Linked DNA regions of Drosophila melanogaster. Changing the gene in region 4 together with the main gene of any one other region gives a genetic interaction. Each region holds a gene or a part of one and is shown on either strand. Other genes may lie near its edges.

What was found.
Region 1: of l(2)gl (region 4) and park, changing one suppresses a phenotype caused by changing the other (phenotypic suppression), as found in Drosophila melanogaster (one study listed by BioGRID).
Region 2: of l(2)gl (region 4) and Glyat, changing one suppresses a phenotype caused by changing the other (phenotypic suppression), as found in Drosophila melanogaster (one study listed by BioGRID).
Region 3: of l(2)gl (region 4) and cyst, changing one suppresses a phenotype caused by changing the other (phenotypic suppression), as found in Drosophila melanogaster (one study listed by BioGRID).

What each region holds. Positions count from the first base shown.
Region 1 is NT_037436.4:21,194,203-21,198,468, forward strand, and holds park (parkin), read right to left. Parts: upstream 2,652-4,266; 5' UTR 2,574-2,651; intron 2,568-2,573; exon of another isoform or gene 2,511-2,567; 5' UTR 2,501-2,510; coding exon 2,243-2,500; intron 2,184-2,242; coding exon 1,991-2,183; intron 1,935-1,990; exon of another isoform or gene 1,916-1,934; coding exon 1,570-1,915; intron 1,445-1,569; exon of another isoform or gene 1,429-1,444; coding exon 984-1,428; exon of another isoform or gene 929-983; coding exon 832-928; exon of another isoform or gene 755-831; coding exon 645-754; 3' UTR 552-644; downstream 1-551. Other genes in the region: Targ3 (terminal ADP-ribose protein glycohydrolase 3), read left to right, coding at 2,694-2,815, 2,869-3,043, 3,103-3,252; Targ1 (terminal ADP-ribose protein glycohydrolase 1), read right to left, coding at 3,258-3,288, 3,347-3,435, 3,558-3,923; Targ2 (terminal ADP-ribose protein glycohydrolase 2), read right to left, coding at 4,257-4,266. UniProt on the Drosophila melanogaster protein: E3 ubiquitin-protein ligase which accepts ubiquitin from E2 ubiquitin-conjugating enzymes in the form of a thioester and then directly transfers the ubiquitin to targeted substrates, such as Paris, Marf, Opa1, Miro, pnut, Septin1, Tom20 and porin.
Region 2 is NT_033779.5:8,009,052-8,012,351, forward strand, and holds Glyat (glycine N-acyltransferase), read right to left. Parts: upstream 1,602-3,300; 5' UTR 1,585-1,601; coding exon 1,393-1,584; intron 1,329-1,392; coding exon 1,084-1,328; intron 1,028-1,083; coding exon 854-1,027; intron 800-853; coding exon 574-799; 3' UTR 552-573; downstream 1-551. Other genes in the region: CG12560 (uncharacterized protein), read right to left, coding at 1-144, 205-408; Tg (transglutaminase), read left to right, coding at 2,694-2,832.
Region 3 is NT_033779.5:19,502,717-19,510,505, forward strand, and holds the start of cyst (cysts), read right to left. Parts: upstream 6,049-7,789; 5' UTR 5,471-6,048; coding exon 4,774-5,470; intron 3,646-4,773; coding exon 413-3,645; coding exon of another isoform or gene 383-412; 3' UTR 1-382. Other genes in the region: Hasp (Hig-anchoring scaffold protein), read right to left, coding at 6,443-7,421.
Region 4 is NT_033779.5:18,373-23,390, forward strand, and holds the start of l(2)gl (lethal (2) giant larvae), read right to left. Parts: upstream 3,005-5,018; 5' UTR 2,694-3,004; intron 2,602-2,693; 5' UTR 2,459-2,601; intron 1,649-2,458; exon of another isoform or gene 1,644-1,648; 5' UTR 1,573-1,643; coding exon of another isoform or gene 1,513-1,572; 5' UTR 1,508-1,512; intron 199-1,507; exon of another isoform or gene 1-198. Other genes in the region: Ir21a (ionotropic receptor 21a), read right to left, coding at 3,547-4,315, 4,371-4,563, 4,622-5,018. UniProt on the Drosophila melanogaster protein: Essential for the development of polarized epithelia, for cell polarity associated with asymmetric cell division of neuroblasts during development, and for oocyte polarity formation.

The DNA.
Region 1 (4,266 bases), on a different chromosome or scaffold from region 4:
CGTGTTTCCTATATATAATTGCCTAAAATCTATTGATTTACAGATGTGTCCTAGGGCGGTTGCACATATGAATTATAAAACTGTATTAAAGTGAAATATTTAATTTTACGTATTAACGGCCAAAATTTAAGTTTCAGTTTCTTAATAATTTTCTCTTTTGTGTTTTCTCTCTTTAGCAAGAATAGTAGTTAGTACTTTTGAAAATCCAGGAACATTTTTGAAATGCCTTTACCATCCCCCAATCAATTATTAGTCCCCTTGCGGCTACGCGCCTGGGTTGAAATCACATGAACCTTGTGCCGCTGACCACCCACTGCGCATTCGCGGCACTCGCTCTCTGGCTGTTTGGCCAAATGCACGTGTTTGTTGCGGTTTTCGCATGCCTGGCCGAAGAGGAAAGCCCTCAAAATATTTGTGGGCGAGCTTAAAAAAAAACGTAAACAAAGTTTTTGTGCGCACGCAACAAAGGAACAGAGTGGGGTAGGATGTGATTCGCGTTGGTCCTTGTCAGGGGTGTTTCTGCTATTGATTGCGTAGACGACAAACAGGGTGTTGTTCGAGCAGTCTTTACTATGGTATACAATTTAAAAGTAGTCAACAAACAAAAAGGACCCGTCGGGCCGACGTACAACGATGACGAAGGATTAGCCGAACCAGTGGGCTCCCATGCAGTCGCGTGTCCACTCAGTCTGGCAGACCCAGCACCACTCGAATCCGCAGCCAGCGCGTGTGCAGACCATGTGCATGCAACCGCCTGGTAGGAAGAGAAGAAGACGGTATGGATGTGTTACAAACTGCGTCTTGGGTGTCTTCGATGCTCGCCCAACTCACCATCTCGCTCCGTGGGGGTTCTGCATTTTGGACAGGGCTTTGTGCTGACTTTGATGGTGACATTGCTGGCCTCATCCCATCGCGCCTCGGCAGCTCGCTAAAAAAGCACATGATTACACAAGCGGGAATGGGCCGTATAAGAGCCAACTCACATTTGGGTCCACGGTGTACTCGCAGGAGTTTGTGGCACTGGCGCCCGTCCCCTCGGGCAGACACTCCCCGATATGGTAGCCCTGCAGACAATTGCGGCAGAACACGTATCCACAGCCGTTCTGGCATGTCACCTTGCGACAATCGGGCTCCACCAAAAGGCCCATGCCGCATCCTGGCTGGGGGCAGAGTACTCCACCTGCCTGTAGGACATACTCCTCGGTGGCGAATCTCTGGTACCGATCGTACTCCTCGCGTGTCAACAGCTTGAAGTGATGAATCTCCTCGATGAACGAGTGCTCGCAGCCTGCGGGACAGGGCAAGGTGTAGCCGAAGTCCGGATGCGGCATAAACTGACGCTCGCCCAAACGGGAACGGCAATAATGGCGGAAGCAGTCGATACAGGTGACGTGCTGCGATGCGCAGGGGAAAACCAACACGGTATCACTGCGAACATAATAAGGTGATTATAGCAGAATAAAATTATATGACAAATAATTACTTTAAAGACTTTAAAAGAACTTTTTATGACATTTTCGATGATATGAAAATTATAAGAAATTAAGATGTTCCTTATTGCATAATCACCTCACATCCGTGCAGGCCAGGCAAGGAACATTCTTGATGTTATTCTTGATTAGATTCAATGGAGCCGCAAAATCCTTCTCCCCGCCGGAGACATGCTCAGCACACTTGAAGAAGAATTCAGCGAAGGGCGGATCGCCAGCCGCGTTGTCCACGCAGGCCACCTCCAGACTTTCACAATGACCGGGAATTCTACGCGACTTCAAGACATCATCCCAACACTCCGGATCACGATGGACAGTAAAGGCGCCGCCCTTGCATAAAGCGCAGCGGACCCGAAGTTTGCCATTACACAGCTTATCGCATTGGCTGCAATGTACAAAGAAATGCGCTTTGGCACGGACTCTTTCTGGAGAGGATACGACGGGATTACAAGGGGTTTCGTTAAAAAAAAAAAAAACAATAAAAACTAATTGTTGCCTACCTTCATCGGTTATATTCAGACGCTCCTCGCTTTCCAGCTGCAAGTCCAACAGAGTTTCATTTAGAGGCTTGGAGGCTTCATCGCTAAGCGAAGGTTCCTCCTCCTCCAAAGTGGCCGACTGGATTTTCTGGCGCTGCACGGGCGGTCGCAAACGAATGGCATGCAAAACGCTTTGCTGACCCAAGTCACATTGCTACTAGAAGACAGTAAAAGTTAACTTCATGTAGCGGATACATTAAAGAAACTTCTTACCTCTATTGTCGTGGCATCGCTTAGTTCCTTACCGGCAAATATGATCTTTAGATCATCCGGCTGAAGTCCCAATTGTGGTGCCACCAGTTCCTTTACGTTTTTAATATCCCACTGGGGCTCCAGATTAACGGTCAGCGTTTTGCCCGTGTTCGTTTTTACATAAATACTCAGCGTGTGCGTAAGGGTTTTCCCTCCAAATTGCAACAGCTCCAGCATTTTGCGTACAAAAGTGGCAATAAATTTAAAAATAAAACTCATTTGTTATCAGCTGATCGGGTTTAATTTTAGTGCAGTGTATATGCTTCAGTGTTGCCAATCGTTGTTTACTTACGCGTTGCCAAACACCAGCTGGCAGCCATTCGGAGGAAAACGTGGACACGCAGAAAGCGCACAATTGAAAACAATTTTTGTGAAGAAGTCGGAGGAGTATAAATGTAAAAGTTTTATGGAAATGTCAGGACTAACTTACAGAGAGATCAATGGCGACCTATTCAAATGCCAAAGGGATTATTCCATGTGCCACTGCGTGGCTGCCGATTTGCGAATGGGCAGAGGCATAGCTGTAAAGTTTCGGTAGGTAATGGCTTAGTGTTTTTAATAAAATGGTAAATTTGCCTATTTTCCAGAAACAAATTTGGACAGTTGTTGAATTTGCAGAGACAAAATGTTCAGCCAGGCGGCGTGGCTGTCCTTCAGGACCAGCAGCGATTTATTTACTATCTGATCACCAAGAAATCCAGCTGGGGAAAGCCCACCTACGAACTTCTCCAGAGTTCCTTGATCGCCATGCGAAAACACATGGTATGTTTATGTATCTTCTATAAGAAGTTATGATATACGAATCTTTCTACCATTTGCAGATCTCCCACCAAGTACCCAAGCTAGCCATGCCCCGCATTGGATGCGGTTTGGATGGCCTAAACTGGCCCAAAGTTAAGGAAATAATTTGCCAGGTTTTTCAAGCGGATTCTGTTGAGCTGGTCGTTTATAATTATGTTGCTATGAAGTAAATGGCTCATATTAAACTAAACGATCCATTATTTTCCCTGTGGAGGCACAAAATTGTAGACAACAATCTCCAGCGGCTCTTGGCCAAAAACGTACTCGAGGACTCCGCTGACTTTTTCCCATTCCAAGCCATCAATTCCGCAGCCAATTTTTGGGATGGCCAGCTTATTCACGTTGTTTTTGCGCTAATGTAGGAATAATAAAATGTAGCTCTTATTAATATAACTTGTCTAAGCTTTATATATATAATAAATAAAAGCAGGGATACATTCCATTCATAAAAGATATGTATCAGGCATGTATTTACCATATGCTCACGCATCTGCTCCAAAGATGCTTGTACAGATTCGTAGGTGGGCTTTCCCCAGCTCTGAGGCTTGGTTACTAGGTAGTAAATGTACCGCTGGTCATCCTTCAGCACCGCAATATCTCCACTGCCCGCTTGTTGGGCTTGCAGCTCGTCCAACCTTCCGAATACCTTCTTGAACTGCACGGCAATTCCAGCACCCATCGCAAGATCTGCGCCCACACAGTGCGCCAAGGAATAGGTCTTGGGGGCGGAAAACAGATCCCCATCCACTTCGCTTAGGGTGTACTGAGGTTTGGATGACATTCCGACTACAAAAGCTCGCCGAAATGCGCTACGTAGTTCTAGAAGTTTGGGAGAATACATTTAGTTTAAATAAGGGTTTTAGATCTGTCTGACTTAGTGTAACAGGCAGCTACTAGATTAATTTTTGGTCATACGATAACACTAGATAATGGTTCGTAAGGGTATATATATGTATTTATCAAAACTCCAATCTTTGGTTAATATCCTCTCGAGGACGTGTTTTATTTATTAATACATTAAATACAGTATAAATAACCAAATATGGAAACTTTGTGTGCTATAAAAACCTCTTAGGTGTATCGTTCTTATCAACTATATAAGTATTTGGTGCATATGATGCCACAAGTCCCAAGCAAAACCATTTCGAGTGTCAAACAAAGATGGCTATATACATTAAAAGGGA
Region 2 (3,300 bases), 8.0 Mb from region 4:
CACAGGTTTCAATCGCGTAGAAAACCCAAAGAAATCGTATTCATTCTCAATGGACTTGAGGCATTCTAACGCTTTCGTCACTCGATCCAAATTTTCGCTCAGTGTGTTGAAGTAAATGTGGTTCATATGAGTATCCGAACGTAGCTGAGATGATTAGACAACATTCAATCACCGAACTTTTGCATTTCACATCGCATAACTTACCGTTAGAACAAAGGTTCCATCGCTCTGCCAGTCGCCATTCAACGATAGGAAATTGACCTTCAATTGCGGGTCTATCTCCACCCACTTAATGAAATTATTTATGCACGGATAGCCTTGGGGATCCGTATCTCTGGCCACATACAAATCTCGCAGTTTAGTCCATTCGCCGCGTGGAATTTCAACCAACGAATTCTCCGTCGACATGACGACAACCTTTCGCAACAAAAGCTGAACGCAGACTAAACTTGAAACAAAAAAAAAAAAAAACAAAATGAGATAAGAGAAAAGCTGTGCACTACAAAGAGAGCAAACAAGTAAATCGAAACTCATAATAAAAGTAGACGTTTGTAATCTGTATTTATTCTTTATTTATAAAGTGCACGGTATCACTGCCCAGTAGAGTTTGTTGATATTGTTGAATCCTAGTTTCTCGAACATTTTTTGCGAACCCTCGTTTTCGGGAACAACTGTGGCCAGAACTTCTGAGCCCTTTAACTTGATTTCATTAGCCATAAAGCGCACTGCCAAAGAACCCAATCCCATTCGACGATGTGAGGATAAAACGTGTAGGTTACTCAAACTACCATGAGGAGATCTAGAAAATACAGATTGTTTCAGGAATATTATCAAACCCATCTTCTTTTCTTACCTTAGACACCACGCTAGGGGTTCTCCTTGGTTATCAAAAACACCAACAGCGAGATTGTTCTCCATAAAACCCCTTATCATAGTTATAGAATCAGCTGAACGATAAGCCCAATGTTTGTCGACCAATTCGGCATGATTTGATGTGATATAAGCCACTTTGCAAGAGGTACTCAAACTAAAGGGTTAGAAATTTGTAACAAGATTTTACTGAATATTATTATTTTACTTTACCTTGGTTTCCAACTGGGAATTTCGGTGCTTGGCAGGTGGTAAACAATAGCGCCCTGGTGTTCAAGATTAATCAAATCTTGACCCAAATTCAGCCAATATGCCTCAACTAATGGTTTGAATCGTTCTTCATAGCCACAGATTAAATGAAACACTTTAAGTTTTAGAGAGTTCAACAATTTGCCAAGATCTTCTGGGGTTCCCTTAATGGTATTCATATAAATATAGGCCTTGTTCTCCAAATAATGCTGAAATGCAGATCTAAAGTTATATTTCACATACCTAGTGTATGTGAACTATATATGTGCTTACAATTAGTATATAACTGCCATGTGTTCTCCAATCCGTATCAGTTGTATATATCTTTATGGATTCGGTTGTGGATAAGGGTATGTAATTTAAAAAGTACTCGATTAAGTCGAATCCCGTGAGATTAGTTCTATCATTCGCGTACAAATCTCTGAGCTCTGGCCACTGAGATTTTTCTATCAGTATAGGTTCCATTTCCAATTACAATTGTTGCTGAGGCAGAGAAAAATGATACTGATGTTTTTCTTTTCACAGACACAACAATTATTTACTGAGTTCTTTTTGTATATTTATGACAATCTCTTTCTCTTGCGTTCTCTTAGTATACCCATTGACGTCACAAAATATCTTGTGCTCTTTTGTAGACACCTTCTCATTTAAAAAATTTTCGATATGTTTTATACTCATTTCTGCGTTCTGATTGACTGATCGCCAACTGTAGAAATTTCTTTAAGCGGTTATCGATTTTTAAAAGTTTTAATAAAAAATATTTGCTTATCATTTTTATGTATTTGATTATATATTGGGGACAAACCCTCTATTAGAAATGCATGTAAATTTCGTATAACCTTGTCAAGGTCACAATGAAGGAACATATGAAGTGCTTATTTCTCAAAGTGTATCTTCCCAGGAAATAACCATTACGCAAAACACTAAATCTAAAGTCTGTGTTGACAGAACTGACAAAGATTTAAACCCAACCACGCCCCTTTAGCACACTCATGATAACTCAAACTAATTAATTAACTAAGATAGTCGTCAATCAATTTGATAGCAATCAAAGTCAATCATGAATGATTCAACTGCAACTTATTCCGTAAAGCTGATCAATTTACACACGCATCTCTGCTTTTTGGACACTCGAGGCCATCAACTAAGTGACACCGTTGACCCACCACAGGCACATGGCATATGGTATGTAAAATGTGAATAGTTGGGAGAAGACGACCGATCGATTCGGTATTCAGTATCATTCGAATGTTGGAGCTTAATAGACCGCTTCGAATCAACGCCATCGACGGCGATGACGTGATCGCAGCTGTTACAATTTAAACTGCCTCGATTTTGCATTCCGCGCGAGCAGTTTAACCAAAAAATGACACGCCAGTTAATTGCGGACAGCGAAATTGTTGGGTTCTAGAGTAGCAGCAATATTCCGAAGTTCAAATACCAATCCTACAAATCCATCGGAGAATCAACAAAGTAAGGCTTATCATCGCCAAGGCGAACCGGTTTGCCCAATAGATAAAGTCAGAATACGCCAGCATTTGAAAAATAACTGGGTGTGTAGTTCGACTTGAGACATGGGTCAAAAACTATCGTGTTGCCAAAAGTGCGGCGATTGGAAGTGGTGTACATCTAAGGACAACGAGGAGTCAACGCTGCGTATACGCAATGCCAATGCCAACTATTTTACGGGCATTCCACAAGGCGACAAAACAGGTTGGTTTCAATCGCCAAATAAATAAAAACATCGATCTTAACACCTTACTAATTCGACAATGTACTATTGTACATAGCCTACAAACAGTTTTTATAATTCAAACAACAAATTTGAATTTTACATAAGAACGTATCTAGATGTATTTTGAATACTAAGACCTCGAATTCAACGTTTAAGTTTGATTAGAGAAATTGATTGAGTCTCAAATTGTTTTACTACATATTTTAAGGCCGTTAAATTCGATTTTATCTTTGCGTTCCGCTTACCAACGTCGAAAATTGATTTACTTTATAGTGTATGGCACCGATCCAAACAATTATGCATTTGTTCTATAGTCATTTGCCTTTTATGAATGCAAATTTTATAGCCGTGGGTGTTAGACACTCATAGACGCGCTGCCCACGGTGTAGTTTTTTTCTATCCCCCCAAATTGCTCATTTCATACCTGCAATTTCGAAAATTAAATT
Region 3 (7,789 bases), about 19 Mb from region 4:
AATTCGAAAACACTCACACTTACTGTAATTAATCTTTTGTCCGAAGTAAAATTGGTTTAAAAAATATATAAATAATGGTAATAAATAATTGGTTAACTAAATTACTAAACAGTTTGAGATTCATTGGATTGATAGCGAGTCCGTAGGAAATACCATTAAGTACAGTACGTTTGCTTAAATTAAAGATAACATTTGCGATATTGAGCCTAAAATGGGCAGTACGATATTGGGATTGTAGATTTTCGAATGGTATAGGTACAGTTCAACAGGTATGGAAGTACATTTCCAGTTCCCCTCATTGCCCAAGATCAGGCTTCCGGTTATGACTTCAAGAAGGTTTTTATATCGATTGGAATGATAGTGGTTTCAAATGATTCCACATTTAGATTTCGACTTCAGGCGTGAACTGGCGTCAGAAGTAGATCTCCTCTTCCTCGGGCTTGGCTCGAGGAGCTGTGCCAGTGGCCACAGCGATTCCTGCCGTTCTTGCAATTCCTGTCCGGCTGCTCGTTGGAGTGCGAGTGTAGTGGGCCACCGATTCTGCTCGAGCTACGGGGGTCTGGGTGGGAGTTGCGGTGGTCGTTGCCTGCTGGATGATCGCCGGCGAGCTTCCTGTTCGCGAGTGCTGCGGCACCATTCCCGTCGTGGGCGTCGTTGTACAGTTCGAGGGCGTGGCTGTCCTCCGGTCAGCCAACTTTAGAGGGAACATCTGCTGCACACTGCCGGCGGAGATGTAGGGTGTCGGTGATGCGCTATTAAAGCTGGCGGACTTGTCTACGCGGGAGCTAGAAGTGCCGCTGGACGAGAGCGAGGAGAGCTTCATGGGCAGCTTTTGCTTGACCAGAGTGGGGTTGACTTTGGGCGCATTATTGGCGCTGATCAAATTCACAGGCGGAGTTTTGCAGCTGGATGAGCCACTCAGCCATTTCTCCTTACGTCGATCAAAGGTTCCACCCACACTGGGCGTGCTGCTGCCCGTCCCACTTCCACTTAATCCATTGTCTGTCTCGTGGCTGTCATCCAACAGCGCAGCAGGTGGAGGATGATTGTTGCTGACCGGTGGCAGGGGAGTGCTGGGCGACAGCAACAGACCCTGACTGGAGAGGAGCTCCATCTTCTTGTACAGCTGTTCACGCTGCTGGCGCACATCCTCCTGCTCGGCTTTGATCTGTTTCTGCAACTGCAGCTGTTGTGCCCGCATCTCGGCGAGTTCCTCCTGTTGCTGCTTCAGCTGACGCTGCCATGCGGTCTTCTCCTCCTGCTGCTTGTCCTGCAGGTTACGCAGCTCCTCCAATTGATCCTTGTGCGTGTAGGCACTCGAGCGAGGACTCTCCCTGTAAAGGGCCAGCTGGAGCTGCAGGTTATTGATGGTGGTCATCTGCTGGGAGATGACGCACAGCAGAGTCTGCAGATGGTGCGTCACCTGTAGCACCGCATAGTTGTTCTCTAAAGGCTGCTCCGACACCGAGCTGGACCCACTCTTTGGTTCTCGCTTCTCTTCCAATTCCTGAAGGCGGGGTGTTAGCACTAGCTTGGAGGCCAGCTTGCCGCGCTTTTCGTCGAAGCCAGCAAATGTTTCCGCCCGCTTGGGCAGAGTGGGCGAAGCGTACTGCTCACTCTGCTTTTCGCCGACACTACTCAGAGTCCTGGGCACCGGCTGACCTGTGGCCGCCGAGTAGATCGTGGAAGCCAACTGGCTGATGTCCTGCACCGTGTTGAGCACTCTGCGCCACAGCTCCGCCGTGTCACAGTCGGCACTAACGAGATCCTTGTATGAGCCGAAGGCCGCCAGGAAGTTGGCTGCACTGCAACTGGAATTGGTGCCGGCCACATCTCCAAAGGGCTGCTGCTCCTTGAGCAAATTGAATTGAAGCATCAGTTTCTCCTCCAGCAGTAGCGCCTGTTCAATGTCCTTTTGTCGCATCTTCTCGATGGTCTCCCTTTTGTTCACTCCGATTCGCAGCTTCTCCTCCGCCGTGAGATCCTCCGCCTCGATTATGTCCGTTGCGGGACAGTCAAGCACAGCCTGACGGATGGTCTGAATCCAAGTGTTCTTGTCCTTTGGCGTCTGCACTTTCAGCTCGTACATTTCTGGGAAATCCGGATTGGAACTGATAATATATATTCCCCGGGATTCGGTGCCTGCCTTTTCGCGGATAAGCAATTTCTGGAGAGGAACCACTCCAGCCTTGTGCTCCGGCGTGAAGAATGAGTACTTGTTGTGACCGGAGTTCTCGCTCAGAAAGCACAGGCAGTCGGTGAGCACCACAACAAGGACAAGCTGCGTCTTAGCCCTGCCCTGCATGAGGGTGGCCAATCCATCAAATTTCAGACGACGTCGCGACTCCACACCAAGCTCAGTTTTTCGGAAAGGCTTATTTTTGTAGATAGCAAAGGATTTGGCATCCACGCGACCATAGATTTCCAGCTGTCGTTCGCGCAGCTCTTTCTCCGCCACACACGCATCCACATCGACCAGAAGAGATTTGACCAGGTTGAGGGCATGCTGAAGCTTGTCTGTCTCCAGCTTGTTATCCCTGGCGCTCTTCAGCAGCGGCTCGATGAGCAACGGGTATTTGGTAAGGCGCTGAGTCACGAACAAGATGCATTCGGGGATGCCCTTCTTCTTAAGCAACGGATTCTGTAGACAGTGCTTGTACCATTCGGCGAAGCTTGGCTCGGTTAGACAGAGCTTAAACTGGTCCAGGGCGCTGCGATGATTGGCGCAGAACTCTCCGTAGGCCAGACGCAGGCATTGCGCCTGCTCCAGCGAGAAGAAATCGAGCAATATGTCCGCGATGCTGTCCACCATATGCTGTTCGCGTTGCTTCAGTCGCAACTGGCGCAGGAAGCAGGTGTGCAGATCGGTGAGCTGTTGCAGGCGCGGAAACATGCTGTTTAGGTTGAGTGATGGAAAGTGCCGCTCCAGACTCTCAACGAACACCTTCTGCATGACGATCAGTGTCTGGCAGTGGTGTTTCTCGGTCATAATGAACTCATAGATATGTTCCTGCCGCTTGATCTGCAGATCCTTCAGCGTCTTGAGTAACTCCCTAGGCACATTGGGTGTCCAGGAGTCGTGCTCCTTGAGAACGATGCCTAGAACGGGATCGGCTCCCAAGTCTTGTGCTTCGATCGGCGCTTCGTTGAGAAACTGCAAATCGGAACGTATCAGAGGCTGATCCTCTGGGTTGCTAAAAGTGCTCGCATCCGGCCCGTCGTAGTAATCCTGGCCGCCGCCCATTTTCTTCACCTTGCACTCAAGGTGATGTTCCTTGATCTGCGCCAGTGTGATTGCAGCACCGCAGACGTCGCACGCACTAAGCTGGCCTCCCACCAACGACTTCGTTTTCGCCTTGGGCTTCTTTTTGCGGAAGAATATAGAACCGCGCTTGGGTCGCTTCTCTACGGTGTCGTAGACCTCGATTTTTGCGTGCGCCCGCAAGAGGCTTTGATTCTCATCCTCGCTGTCCGTGAGGTGGCGCGCGATCGCCTTGATATCCTCCTTGGCTATAATTGAGCTCGTCGATATGCTTTTCTGCAGCGGTATTCTGCTGATGATCTCCGTTGCCAGGCTTCGCTTGGCAGCAATCCTCTCGAAGTCACGGGCCAGCTCCGCCTCGTTTAGCGAATGGGTCGAAATACCTGCGAGTAGTCAAAGTTAGAGAGTCGGTCCGTTAGCAATAACTAATCGCAAGGGGTTTCTGATAGCTTTGGTCGGAGCTACCAATACCAAAACACTATATGGGCTTACAGATAAGGGGGTTTTGTGGAATTCCACATCGAAACGAAGCTAACTTGGTAGTAGCCCCTACTCTTTGGTTGAGTGGCATATTATTTTGAGCAATCAATTGGCAAAATTTATTGACTTTATTAACGATATCTTATCATACATATTTTCCCATTTTTTTTCCGCGAGTCCCACGGTCACACCTCTACAATATTCTACATTCTACAATAATTTAAGATTAGGGCTTGTAGTTTCTAGTGAATCTGCTTGGAACAGAGAAGTTATTCTGTCGAAAGGTCATAACTTTTCACTTGGAGCCATTTAAGTTTAGTACGTTACCACGGCACCATATTTGAAAGCTATTGAAATCGGATTGTAAAGCTAAATGGGAAGAATTTTCATTATACTGGAGGCATAATTTACCATACGATGCGTACATAAGTACAAGCGAATGTTTCATTGCTCACTAGGAGAATACGAGATAGAAAATTTTCAAAGAGTACCCGGATGCGTCCTTTAAGTTCAGATAACTTAAAATCCTTTTTAGAAGATCAACAGATAAACCTAATAAATCAAGTTTGCTTACTAGAAGAGAATTATTTATAAAGACAAATGCTTTACTAAAGTCAGTGTAGATGACACCTGTTTGAATATTATTTCTGAAGCCCTGTATTACGAAGGAAGTTAGCTCCAAAAGGTTATTGGTTGTTTATCTGCGTTTCTGCTGACATGGTGATATAATTGACCTACAAAGGCGCTGCAAATGAGTAGTGATAACATTTTCAAAAACCTTTGGAATAGCCGACAATTTAGAGATTCCTCTGTAAAATCCATTTCCGACTTAATTTTGAATGCATTTTTGTTTAGTATTATTTTAAACTTTCAACACCTAAACACTTTTGTCTAAATAATTAAATAATATTGGCAAATTTACCTAATCAACAGGGCCAGCCATGTTGCAGGTATACAAATATCTGAACTACTATTGCATTGCACACTTATGGCTTTGCCAACCCACCCCCGAAACCTTAGTGCATATCTACCTCCAGTGCTGTTCCTGGCCGACCTTCGTCGCTGCTCGGTGACGCGAATGGTTTCCTGCTCCTCGCTGTCCAGGCTGGATAGGCTGACGCTCTTGTTGGTGCAGTCGCCAGCGCCGCTGCCATCGTCCACGGCTGTCCAGGATTTCCGGCGGTCTGTGTGAAGAAACTGGCACTGCTGCGGTGCCGTGGAAGACCACATGGCGTAGTTGGAGCCACCGGACGCGGGACCCGTGCCCGTCCCCGTAAGATCGGGCAGCGAAGTACTCAGTATAGCTGCGCTGAGCAGTCCATGATTGGCCAAGCTGCCGTCCTGCATGTGCTGGCTAGGCGAGGAGGAGTTCTTCATCTGGACGACCGTTTCGCGGATGTTCTGCAGCTGGCTCAGCGTGTCCTCGAATATGTTGTTGTACTTGGAGGCCAGGGCGGGACTGTGTGGCGTCACATTTATGGTGGGTATCATGTTGTTGTTATTGATGGTGTTGCTGGCAGGATTAGATGCTGGTGGCGGAGCAATGGGGGCGCGCGCTGGACCAGGAACGGGTGCGTTTATTACGGGTATGCAATAGTTCTGGCTTTCGATGGAGGCGCCTCGGTTGGTAGAGCCACCATTAACCAGCGCTTCCGAGGACTCGCTGCAGTTGGAGTTCAGAAAATCGGTGACCACATCATTGTCGCTGTCCTCGCCCGCGTTGTCCATAATAGGGTCTACTGAATTCTCTGCGTTTTGGGCCAATTTCCTTTGTTTAGCGACTGTGTTCTATTTTACAGCTGGCTGCCTAGAAAAAGAAAGTTTCAGTATACAACGCACACACACTCAACCGCGACGGGCACCATACATGCATATATGTGTGTACATACGTACATATACACTTGTGTATGCACTTGCTTTTTGCTATTTATTGATTTTCCCGCCACCCCCGAAAACACCTTGTTGCGCGACGTAAATTGTTGCGCCTTTTTCGAAGGACGTCACTTGTCCTTGCACCAACAACAACCACAATAACAGCAGCCACACAACAGCAGTGGAAGCAACAACAGCAACAACAACGGCAGCTCAGCAGCATCAACAGCAGTGCGTGGGCGAGGGGAATGCGTGAGTTTTAAACGATAAATTCGAACGGGTGCTTCGCGTGCGGGAAAGGGAATACTGGCCGTTGCACTTAACCGAAAACTAAACGGAATCTTAAGCTAGTGAGATTTCTGCCAGCGTTTTAAAATTTAAATGCGATTCGAGCTGGGGTTGGAACTTATATCGATGCTTACCCGATACTATCGCCAGCAGTCGGGCAGTGTGACCATGACGGCGGCACACTTTACATTTAACAGCGCTGTCGCTAACATAACCAGTGCTGAAAAGAAGCGCCCAACCATTCCGATTCCGATTAACAACACTACATTTGAATTCAAATTTAATCCTAACTATGTAACGGAAATCAAAATATAATTAAAACAGAAGAACTTTTGTCTTTATTCGACGAACATTTATTGAAAGTAAAATGATGGCCGTGCGATACAGTACAGGGCTACAGTTACGCTACAGTTACAATTGAATCGCAAGAATGGCGTTACTAGTTGGTAAACGCGTGACTGTGCGCCTGGAATGTGCATTAGTTAGTAGGTAGTAATATGTATTAGTATCACTCTGAAGCAACCGGCAATCCGAATCGCTCTAGCCCATGGTGGTGGCCAGGTGCTTGTTGGTGGCCACGGATCCGGATCCTCCGCCGCCGCCTCCTCCTCCTCCTCCTCCTCCGCCGACAGGACCCTCGTTTGTCACGCACGTGGGAATGGCACTGGACCACTTGCCGTTCTTAAGGCACTTGAGCACCTTGGAGCCGCGCAGATCCAGTCCGGCATCGCAAGTGAACGTGATGCTCTCGCCGATGGCGTAGTAGAACTTGACGGAGGACATCCTGCCGCTGATGACGGTGCCCGGATACGAGCAGGCCTGCACGCACTTGGGCAGCCCGCCAGACCACCTGGCATTATCCTGGCAGGCAATGATCGGCTGGCCCTGCATCATGTACTCGGGATTGCAATTGAACTGGACCACGTCGCCGGCACGATAAGGTGCTGAGCCCTGGGCGTAACCATTTTGCGGCGCCCCCGGATTGTCGCACTGCACCTCGACGCAGGTGGGCAGCGGCGCTGACCACTCGCCCGTCGGATTGCAGATCGCCTCCGCCGGACCACGCAGCCCGTAACCGGAGGCGCACGAGAAGGCCGCCCGGCCGCCCACCTCGCGCGACAGCACGGACACACGGGGCGAGCTCGCGTTGCTGCCCATTCCCAGCGGGATGTCGCCGCACTCGACGCTCTCGCAGACCGGCAACGGTGCGCTCCAATTGCCACTCGGTAGGCAGAACAGCTCCGAGGCGCCAATCAAGGAGTTCCCGTTAGCGCAGGACAGCAGCGCCCGCGTGCTCAGCTTAGTATCGTTGGTGTTCACGATCAGGCCGCGTCGCATCGGTATCTCCGGGCAGTTGATGGCCCGCACCACCACCTCCACGGTGTGCTCATGCCGAGCTGGGGTCATGCACGAATAGAACCCGGAGTCGTCGCTGGCCGCATCCACAATGCTCAGCCGGTATTCCAGTGTAGAGTCGCGGCCCTCATCCGCTTCGGTTACCCAGCCCTCTGTGTAGTTCCTGCAAGACGCAGAGATTCATTAGTGGAGTTTACCACATGGAGGACGGTTTCCCAAAGGTATCTCCCATTAACCAGGTTCAAATATGTTTAGATTGTTTTGAGTACCTATAAAATAAAAGGTGTAGATAAGAGAAGGGCTATTCCAAGAGATTCCCAGAACCAGACCCTGCTGATCATTGCCTTTTATAGTATAAATAACCCTTAAAGAAATAAAAATAAATGTTTATAAGAAATCCCTAAAGTCAAACGATCTAATGATCAATTCAAATACCTAATTGCTGCTTTTAAAAATTTAACCTATAGTCCAATAACGAGATACACCATACACATTAATTTGAAGTTCAGACGCAAATAATTTATGAACATA
Region 4 (5,018 bases):
CCGCACTGTTCTTCACATCGTTGCTTTAAATGAGAATAAATGAAATAAACGTGTCAACCAAGAACACACAGATAATAATACGACCGGTCAGAGCTTAACCGTGTATCTGTTTTATAAAACGTGAACAATATTATTAGCCCAAAACGATATGCGCGTCATTTTAACACACACAAAGTCGCGATCGGTGGGTCTAGTGTGCCCGTGTATCTCTATCGAAAAAATCATATATTTTTTAGAAGGTATATTTTCCATGACTGACTGGAATGGGTGGAGAACATCGCTTTGGGAGTGAAACTCCGCTATAAATTGTCATTTGTTTTTATAGCAACCTTTTTGATATGGTCGCCAACTTTTATATAATTATAATAATAATTTTTGTAATTAATCACCGCTGTCGCACGAAAAATTTAGGAAATGTGCCAACGAGCGGAATTTTTCGGAACGATCGATGTTTTACCATAACCTGCTATATAAATTGTGAACCACATTTTCAACACAAAACTAGATGTGCTTCATTTATAACGCAATGTCGTGATTTTGTGGGCAGTGTGACCATGTCCAATCTGCGTTCAAGTAAAACCATATTTAGTGACACAAACTTTCCATTACAAAATACCAAACAACTTTAAATTTGTTGTTGCATCAAACTTTTTCTTTCTATACATATAATATTGCGGGTGTATTTGGATTTCTAACGCAGTTACAGGCGAATAAACTCATTTTCTTTTGACTTTAAAATCTTATCAATTTTACGCCGTCTATGACATACTTATTTTGTACCTGAAATAAGGGTGTTTGTGAAACCAAGCCACTTACCCAACCCATTAGGTACATAAACGCAATCTTATCAGCTCCCCCCTCTTTCTGGAGCTGGATGGCGATTACCTCTGACCTACTTTTATTTGTTGAATAACATGTTTATACTAACATAGGATAAAAAAAATTTCATATACGTATATTTATTAAACTATTATGGTAATAGGGAAACATCTATGGTATATTTAATTCGAAAATATTTAAAAGGAATGGACAACATTACGAGCACAACGATATAATAGAATTTTTAAAGTAGCCAATACACAAAAATATGCTGTGGAAAAAGACACTCACAAAATCAACCAAGCTTCAGGTACCTCCTCATATTTGGCACCGCATAGAAGGAGTGCACAAAAGAAACGAGCAAAAAAGCACCGTAACCTTTTTTATGCGGTGCTTTGTGGCGCGAGTCTACAAAATACTGTGTGTGTATGCGGTTTACTTGTAGTTGCGGTGGAAAAAATTTACCTAAATGTTAATGCCCAAAAGTATGCACATAGGAGAAGACATAACAAAAGATTCAAAAGGAGGTATTTATTTATTCCTCATAAATTATAAGCTTTCTTCTAACTTCCATAAAAATGTATTTACCACCCAAGATCAAAATAAATGACCCCACAAAATATACCAATCGGCTACAAATACTTAAAAAAAAAAAAATAGAACGGAAAGAGAAAATTGTTTGTTTTACCTTACGATGTAGCGTTGTCTGTCAGCACTGGGCTGCTGCCCTTTTCCTCTGATAAACTTTAACATGATTGGTTATGCTCTTGTGGTGGTTTGGTTTTGATGAATAAATAAGTATATTAATTGTGGCCGAATTTATTCTAAACTGAAAATAATAATAAAAATTAATCAAATTTTCAATAAGTAAAAAATTAAAAAGGAACTTGTATATTTTTTCACTCTTATGAATAAAACCGAGAATTTAAATTTAGGTAATACTATTAATACCTTTTATAGATACGGACGATACGTTTAATATTATTCTGGTATACTTTAATCAAAATTTGTTTAACAAAAAGGGTTTTACATTCTTGAAGTCATAGGAAAATCAGTGGACAGATAGATCTTGGCTCCCAAGATTTTCCAAACTAGTTGTGCTTATTTTCTTAAAACTTCAAAGATTTGCATGTAGGCAGTTTAATAAACATGTTTGTACATATGTATATGTACATTAGGAAAAATGAAATGATGAGCGATCTGTACTCTTTGCAATGTGTATGTATGTACATATGTACCTCCCTTTAATGAACTAGCAATTCCGTCACGCACACGAAATATTTTTTTATTTGTAAATCTTTTTTAAAGTTTGTTTAAACAATTTAGTTACTATTAAAGCTCTAAAATTCATAAATAAATAATAATAAATGTATTAATTAGGACAAAAAACAACTTAAAACATATACGTTTATTTTTGTAAAAGCGTTTTAGGCAAACGCTAGCTGGTCGGTACTAATATTTTTTCTAAGACTGTATACCGTATACATACATTTATGTACGTAGGTATGTATCCGTGAGTAAGCTGAGGTGCAAAACCGTATCACCATTTGCTTTTCGGCTGATAACCAATACCAAGTAAGTCAACTGTTTCCCAAATGTATCTGCATAACAAGGTGATGACCTAATTTTGAGTACATACCGATCTTTACAGTTGACCAGCTTTGCGATTGCATACCGGTATCTGTTTATTCACATATACACACACAAATTGCGTGTTAGACAGACAGCAAAATGACGACTGTTAACTGTTGGCGTGGCTGACTCACCGACTACGCCTCTATGCTAAGAACATACATATTTGTGGACACTTTATTTAAGAAGTTTGAAATATAAATCAATTGCCTAATCAGTAATACTGTTGTTGAGCCCTTTACCTTTATGTATTTCCGTTTGTACGGTTAAGGCGGTGGCCGAGTAATTTTTTGAACTATTTTATTTGCTCACCATCACGCATAAGTTTGTATGTATTCTTATGTTGAGAAACGCCCGCACTGTTCTTCACATCGTTGCTTTAAATGAGAATAAATGAAATAAACGTGTCAACCAAGAACACACAGATAATAATACGACCGGTCAGAGCTTAACCGTGTATCTGTTTTATAAAACGTGAACAATATTATTAGCCCAAAACGATATGCGCGTCATTTTAACACACACAAAGTCGCGATCGGTGGGTCTAGTGTGCCCGTGTATCTCTATCGAAAAAATCATATATTTTTTAGAAGGTATATTTACCATGACTGACTGGAATGGGTGGAGAACATCGCTTTGGGAGTGAAACTCCGCTATAAATTGCCATTTGTTTTTATAGCAACCTTTTTGATATGGTCGCCAACTTTTATATAATTATAATAATTTTTGTATATATAATCATAATAATATCATATAATAATCACCGCTGTCGCACGAAAAATTTAGAAAATGTGCCAACGAGCGGAATTTTTCGGAACGATCGATGTTTTACCATAACCTGCTATATAAATTGTGAACCACTTTCTTAACACAAAACTAGATGTGCTTCATTTATAACGCAATGTTGTGATTTGTGGGCAGTGTGACCATGTCCAATCCGCTTTCAAGTAAAACCATATATTGCCACAAACTTTCCCATACAAAATACCAAACAACTGTAAAATTTGTTGTTGCATCAAACTTTTTATTTCAATACATATAATTTCATGTGCACTAAAGTGATTATTTTGTATTTGCATTTAAAAATTTCTGTGATTAATTGTCAATACGGAATGTATGTGAGGAAGGATTGCCGTCGTTATCCATCTGGTCCATAAATTCGTCTAAACGCTGCAGAGATTCAAGAGCTTCCCGAGATTCTTCGTCTTCAATATTATTTAATTTTGCAGAACTGTTTGGAAACTCAGTGTGGACGATGTCTAGCTGACCATGATCTGTTTCAGGTGCCCCGTAGCTTCCGTATATTTCCCGAAGCGTTGCGCGGGTAAGATTTAACTCGCGCATTCCAAAACTCATTTTTTGAGCAACCTCAGCAGCCTCGCGTCTATTGGCCTTTCGCTTATCATGGGAAAGTTGCTCGGCATTAGTGCGAAGCATTGACCCACTTGACGCCGACGACCAAGAGGAGGCGGCCGACTTGCGGGAGCGCTTGATTATTTGGCGGCACTTGTTGGTAATCCCACCGACGATCTCGGATACCAGGGCTGTGGCTCCTAGAAAGTAGCCCAGTGCCATGAGCAGGAACATTCCTTCTGTGTCCGCTGTAGTCAATTGGCGCTCTTCCTGAATTATTTCGCGTAAGGAATTCGAAGAACTTGCCTGGAGCAGGCGTCCTGAAGATGATCGCTGCATGACCCAGCTTACCTCGTTATTGATTTTTGCAATAAGACCACTTTGCTGGGCAAGTAATATCATCGAGTCGATTTTGATTTTATACACTGACTCTCGGGGAAACAGAAATCCTATTTGGAAAAGAGCAAAACACTCTTCACTCAAATGAAGCGCCGATCGGCGGGAAATATTTCTAAAAGAGGATATCGTTTACGGTGGGAAGATTAAAAATAAAGGATCGATCTTACTCATCTGAAAAATTTGACTGCACCAGGTATTCGAGCTGAGCCTTTGAGCCAAGAAAGGCATAGTTCCAAAAGAAGCTCTGGGTAACGTTGCCAATGCCCTCATCTACGGACCCGACAAACTCCATTTTCTTGTACAATCTAGACGTCGGTATATGGGTCGAGTTCTGGAACCAGGTCTCCCAGCCACCATTGTCTTTAAGTAAGAAGCCCAAATATTATATACAAATGTAGCGAGCCTAACCTTTTCTTACTCAGGGTTCCAACGCGAAAGAACAATCCCAGCAGATCCAACACAGAGTCAACGGTGTCCGGAAAAGCTGGCAACGTTACGAATGCTATGATGGAACCTGTGTAGCAAGATGTAATGATAATTGTAAAGAGCCAATATGCTCCAATTAGAAGGCGTGTGGAATTTTTCCGCGTGTTGCTCCACGAGTATTTTCCGGTGAAGGAGAAAGCGTTTGTGAACATGCCAAATACATACCAGAACATGTTTTCTACCTCACCCCAATTACCCATTAAATGGCTAAGTGTCAAACGGTCGGTAAAAACTATCGGAAATATTCCACCGAGGTAAACGCAAATCAGAGCGACCCAGACTGGCCATTGGAACGGTCCCATTATGGCTCTGTATTTCGGCAGCGCCTT